2 linked regions of the Bombyx mori genome follow. The protein of the gene in region 2 interacts with the protein of the main gene of each other region in a pairwise test. Links are inferred from orthologs where the notes say so. Each region holds a gene or a part of one and is shown on either strand. Other genes may lie near its edges.

Region 1 (2,958 bases), on a different chromosome or scaffold from region 2:
GTGCACTCCTCTTTCATGCTTTACTTTCGTCGCCCAACATTCAGATCCATACAGATCCATACATCATTGAAATTATAATTAGAATTAAATTTTTTCAGGTCACACCATCGAAACCGATAGAGAAACGCAATCCTCAAGTGTATTTCGACATAAGTGTAAACAAACAAGAAATAGGCCGTATAATTATGATGCTTCGAGCCGACATAGTCCCAAAAACAGCGGAGAACTTTCGATCTTTGTGTACACACGAGAAAGGTTTCGGTTACCAGGGCAGTAGCTTTCATCGAATCATTCCAGAATTCGTATCCTTTTCAAACATATAAACATTGGTCTAGTCATTTTCTAAAATATGCATAGATGTGTAATAATAGGTAGGGGAAAAAGTCTTTTCGCATTATAGAATGTACTAGCGACCCGCCTTCGCTTCGCTTCGGAAACATTAAATTTTACTATTGATAGCTGAGTCCCGCGATGTTAACCGCGGTTATTGTCGTACCGCGGGTGAAGACGCGAGGCGAAGCTAGTCTAAAAAAATTAGCCTAAGTTACTCCTTATATCATCAGCTACCTGTCAGTGAAAGTCCCGTCAAAATCGGTCCAGCCGTTCCAGAGATTAGCAGGAACAAACAGACAGAGACAGACAGACAAAAATTGTAAAAAAATGTTATTTTGGTCTATGTACCGTATATATATTCATATGCATGTAGTAAAAAGTGGCTATTTCAATATTACAAACAGACACTTCAATTTTATTTATATGTATATAAATAAAATGAACTTGTACTAAATTCTCTTTGGCTATACTATTTGTATCTGGCTGGTTTTAGTATCATTAAAAGTTATAGAACAAAATGGTACCGACATAATTTAGTTAAATGTAAATAAACTATATTAAAAAATGTGAATTTTCTTAAAAAATGTGAAGAAACTTTCTCCCCAACCTATTAAATTCCACGTCAGAATTTAGATTTGGTTACTGGGGTTTTTTAGACATTAAAAATTCTCTTACGTCATTCTCATAATATATAGTAAAAAAAAAACATATTATTGTGTGCAAATCATACGTGATAGAATTGAAACTTTGAAAAATTTTGGTTTCGAAATAATGAGACGAATGTAAAATTTCGGGAAGAGGATAAATTGTAGGCTACAAGTGATACAAAGCTTGATAATTATTTTACATTTTATTCGTATATATTACATAGATTTATTCAGAATGTATTAAGTAAGAATATTAGGTACGAAGCAGAGCACAAAGAGAACCACGCTTATATTCGTGGTATACTGTATAATGCTTCTATCTCATTTTCTCCCACGTTAAATCTTATGAATTTATGTGTCTGTCTCTTTTTACTGTCGCTTTTTCGTTTCATCAACTTTCGAATCACAACGATGCTAAAGAAGATTTTACTTTGAAAAAAAAAGGTGATTTCCTGAATTAAAAGCCTAGATGTGTCAAGGAGGAGACTTCACGAATCACAACGGAACTGGGGGAAAGTCTATATACGGCAGAAAATTTGAAGATGAAAACTTCGCATTAAAACACACCGGCCCCGGGGTTCTAAGTATGGCTAATTCCGGACCCAACTCGAATGGATCACAATTCTTTCTTTGTACTGCAAAGTAAGTAACATTATTAGTTTTTCTATCTTATTGCCCTTGTCAGTTTCGATTTTTATCTATACTAATAATAAAAATAATATTATAAAGAGGAAAGATTTGTTTGTTTGTTTGTATTGAATAGGCTCCGAAACTACTGAACCGATTTGAAAAATTCTTTCGCTGTTTGGGAGCTACACTATTCCCGAATGACATAGGCTATAATATGTTTTGAAAAAAATTAGGGATATTTACTAAAAAGCCAATAATCTAACCCAAGGTGTAAAAAATTACCTAAAATATTATTTACATCGCGTGCCCTGCGAAAACTATTGATGACAGAATAAAATAATGTACTACGACTTTGTAGAACACATTATTAATTACAAAAAGTGTCGCGTCAGAATATTATGTCAAATTATTGTAGTTATGCCGTAATAAGTGTTCTTTTATTTTTAAAAATAAAACAACATCAAATATCGTTGAATTTTTTGTTAAAAACTCGAGCGGAGCCGGTGCGAGCCGCTAGTGTAATAATAATTATGTTTCTCATGAAAAATATCTCACAGCGTTTCCAGAGTCTTAGTAATGATTTCATATTTTCTAGAACAGAATGGTTGGACGGTAAGCACGTGGTTTTCGGTCACGTGATCTCCGGCTTGGACGTGATGAAGAAGATGGAGAGGTACGGCAGTAAGAGCGGAACGGTTTCAGCGAAAGTTGTCATAAGTAATTGTGGAGAATTACAATGATTCTGATGAACCTTTGTTGTTTTATTTGATATTTAATAATAAACGTCTCCTTAATCAGACGTCTGAATGAGCAATACTAAATCTATCTACTCACTAGTTTTTAACCACGCCATATTTTTATTTTGCAATCGAATTCTCCTATCATGAACACACGTGACATGTGCATTTATGGATGGCCTCTTATTACATTGATAAATCTGGTCTCGCCTCTGGTTGTAGAGTTAACCACGGAATCCCATATCTTGTGCGCCCCCTTGGCGCAGTACCGTAGGGGGATTGGCCCCTGATGCCCGAAAAAAGAATGTGTTATAAAACCGGATAAGTTGCTATCAATGCCGGGAAATTTCCGGTTACGGCTTGAAGGACATAACCTTTATTATACTGTTGCGACTTCCGCATTAACTTACATAGTAGTCGGATTTTTAAGACATCCGGTTACTTAAAACCAGGTAGGCGGTTAGTTCGTCTACCCTATAAAGCAATAAAAGAGTCATCTGTTACCAGAAGGCGCCTAATAGCTTCAACGTAAAATTCCACGCCTTAAACATTCGACATCCCAAATTTCTTCCTGGAACGTATTTCAGTTCTATTTATATAGGATTTAATGA
Region 2 (3,767 bases):
ATATGTATTCCAAATATCATACACATTAGGCCACTTGAATAAGGCAATACCCTTTTCATATGCTCTAAAAGCTTCTTCAAAGTAATTATGCTCTTCTAAAAATAATCCATAATTGATAATAATTTGTGGAGTAGCAATTTTTAAATCTATAATATGATCATACACAGCTTTGCAAGATTTGAATGTACCAAAACTCTCTTCTAAGTCAGCATACATGGACCAAACCTTTAGTGATTTATACAACCTCATTTGCACAGTTTCAGAATCATCATGATATGCTACTTTTCTGCTTGGTAAAACAGTGGCTCTTTGCATTAATTTTAGGGCTTGCTCATAATTTTCATGTCTGATTTCCATTTCAGCCCATTCACACCAAACTGAAGCTAAATCGTCTACTTTAACATATGCTACCTGTGTAGCTTTTTCAAAAATTAATCTGGCATCTTCAATTTGGTCATTGTTTTCATAAAATTTTGCAAATCCAACCCACAGTGTGAAAAGTTTACCAACAGCTAATTTAGGGTCTACAGTTTGCACTGCTTCAGTATATGTATCTATTATTTCATGGGGTTTACCTTCATATAATTTGACTCTTTTATGCCATTCAGCCACATTATGTGGATTTTGTCTAAGTAGAACTGAATTAAGCAGTAACAGCCTTCTTTCCATAAGATACTCAAATCTGGCAAGTCTCAATTCTAAATCAATATCATCATCTTCACTTGGATTAGTTTTCTTGGCAACTTCTTCCATTTTTTTACTAAGACTTAATTCCTCAAATTGTGCATAAGCATCAAATATTTGTGTAAAATCCCTCACTGTAGTCACAGTTTGTATAGCTTCTTCATAAATGTCTCTGGCTCTTTCAAAAAGACCACTTCGAACATAATAGTCTGCAAGAGAGTTCCACAGGTGGCCTAGCTGATCAGTGTAACGTCTTAATCCCCCTCTGATAATAGCGTCGACATTCAGAGAATGAATTTGATCAGGATTCTTTGATATCAATTCACATAATTCATTCCAAAGTTGATGATTTGACTTTCCATGTTTTGATTGAAAATTCTCATTATTAACTAGTTGAGCCAATTTGACTGCAGCTTCATCTAATTTATCTATTGAAGTTAAGTAGTCAATATACTCTTCAGTATCTTCAGGACATAATTTAAGATACCTACGAAACACTCTTACAGCTGTTTCGGGTATATTGTGTTTCTTCAAGAAATTTAAGTAAAGAGGCCATATCCTATGATGTTGAGTTATTGGTAAAGCTCTAAGAGCACTGTCAAACGCTTTCCTTGTTGTAGTTATTTTATACTGATCTGTTAAGAATGAACAGTAATCCATCCATATTCTAGGCATTTTGTGCATAAATACTAAAGACCTTTCAAAGCAATTGTTTACATCTTCATAGCATGGGTCAGCTATACAGCGACCTCTTATTTGTTTTCTTCTTAATTTAAGATAGTTATACCAAAGTTTAAAAGATCCTGGTAATTCTTTTAAAGCTCGTTCATATATCATATTAATTTCATGTTTGGGTGCAGTTTTCTTGTGTTCAATGTACCTAAGCCAATGTTTGACAGAAAATGGATTTCTTAGGATTTCCTCTTCATACGGAAGATCTTCTTCACTCTGTAACAATAACAATTTTATTTGAATTAATATGATAATAATGTTTGATATCAACGTACCAGAAAACCACAAAAGCTTTGGTTAGATTTTTTAAAGCAGTTGATATATTAAGGTTTCTTTGTTAATTGAATTTGGGTTGAAAAAAATATTTGTTGATTGTATTTTCATATGTCGGCAAAAGTAAATATGTATGCACACTAAGCATTGTAAATTATAAAAATATTTTTGAACTTACGAAGAATATGTCGATTTCTTTTCCGTCTAGAAGAGGCATTCTAAAGCTTTCGAATATGTACCGTAGGTACTATAAATTCAATTCAAACAGTTGAGTAATTGAATAATTAGCTTAATTCTATTTCTTTAGAACACACTCAAATATATTATGTGTATAATCTATGGAACACACTTCAGTGTTTAATCTATGACACACAATATCATAGATTGTACCTTATTTTTTTAAGAGATTTTATGACCTGGTAACTAAGACCTTTAGGTCATGTTTTATTTTAATTTATATTTTAATTTTTATGAAAAATCATAATATGGAGTGAAATGAAATGAGATGAGATGATGTGAGATGAAATATAATCTAAGTAAAATGGTGGTCATTTACTGAGAATTTTGATTCAGTGGACTTTTTGGAGAATCCCGAAAAGTTACGTCCAGTGGCTTTGTTTCATTTTCCCACTTTTGTGCACTTTCACAGATATTAAACAGTTAATAAACCACCGTTATTACACATTTAAACTTGAAGAAACACTAAGTAAACAAAATAAAACAAATCACACAATTTCACTCCTCGCGTTCCTGCCAAAAATCCGATTATAGATTAAAGAACGGAATAGATCCGATTATACCATAAATTTTAAGTATCTATAGATTATACACACTTGTGAGATAACTAATTTAAGTATTAGTTTGTGCGGCTTAATAATGTAACTGATCAAAATTAATTAATCTGAGCGATGAAAATAAAGATATCTAGTAAGGGGGGGCCCAACTTAAGGGAGATCATTTGTTTAATTAATTATAAATAATTAAAAGACGAACAAACAATTTTTACATTCGAAAATTAACGAACAAACGACGAACAAATAATTAAAAATAAAAAAAATCCAAAAATCAAAAAACGAGGGGCCAAATTTAGTGAGCCCTACCTATCTACTCCACGTGTAAAAGCGCTTCTGCTTTTGCCTTGGGCCTTGTAAGCTATCATAGATAATACGCTTATTATTTGAGTTTGAGATGTAAGCTGATTGTAACTTGTAAGCTATGTTAGGAATTATGGCCATCCATTGCCGTACTGCATGCAAACGTGTTGTTAAACAAAGATTTAAGTAAATATTAATTTATGTAACGAGAACTACATTCCGCTTGCCTACTAAGAGAAACTAGTAGAAAAAAATCGCTCCAAATAATAGCGTTTGTCATAGATAATAGACCATAAATAAATGTTTGTACAATTCCTTTTTGTAAAAAATATAAAACCTTTAATTTACTTGACTTCACCGTGCCGGTTAGAGAAGATTATTTTTTAGTTCTTTTTTTTTAGTTTAATGTGATACAAATGTATTTCTACTATAATGTCAAAACAAGGAAAAAGAAAAATATCTGTTGAATTGCCGAAAACGAAAGATCTCTCTATTAGACCTAGTGTGTTTGATCGGCTCGGTACTAAGAAATCATCAAGTGCTAAAAAAACAACTGAACATTGTAGACAGTGGGCCCAACACGGCAGCTGTGCTTACGGCAAAAGTTGTAAATTTGCTTCTACGCATACTCTTATCAGTCCTTCTAAACAACGCGCAGCTCATAAAGACAATGATCAGAAACGTTTAGTGAAGGATGATGGGAAGACTAGATTGCATTCTACTGTTATAGTGCGGTCAGGTCAAAGCCCCGAAGGAGAAATCGATAACTGGGACCAAAATGACTTAGAGTATGCAGACACAGATGTCCTCGAAAAACGAAGACAGCAGTTGCAGCGTGAACTAGAATTACAGATGAAAATGGATTCAAACAAAGACATGCGAAAAGATAAAAAAAAAGTCGTGTCCAGTACGTCTTCATCTAGAAGCTCTAGTTCTTCGAGTGTTTCGTCGTCTTCATCAGACGGCAGCACATCGTCATCTTCA

Evidence for each region.
Region 1: the proteins of pre-mRNA-splicing factor syf1 homolog (region 2) and peptidyl-prolyl cis-trans isomerase interact in a two-hybrid assay, tested with the Caenorhabditis elegans proteins (2 studies listed by BioGRID). The link is inferred for Bombyx mori from reciprocal best matches to the Caenorhabditis elegans genes syf-1 and cyn-13.

What each region holds. Positions count from the first base shown.
Region 1 is NC_085121.1:14,023,829-14,026,786, forward strand, and holds the end of peptidyl-prolyl cis-trans isomerase, read left to right. Parts: intron 1-98; coding exon 99-302; intron 303-1,449; coding exon 1,450-1,622; intron 1,623-2,205; coding exon 2,206-2,350; 3' UTR 2,351-2,360; downstream 2,361-2,958.
Region 2 is NC_085110.1:13,377,583-13,381,349, forward strand, and holds the start of pre-mRNA-splicing factor syf1 homolog, read right to left. Parts: upstream 2,247-3,767; 5' UTR 1,907-2,246; coding exon 1,868-1,906; intron 1,633-1,867; coding exon 1-1,632. Other genes in the region: zinc finger CCCH domain-containing protein 13, read left to right, coding at 3,216-3,767.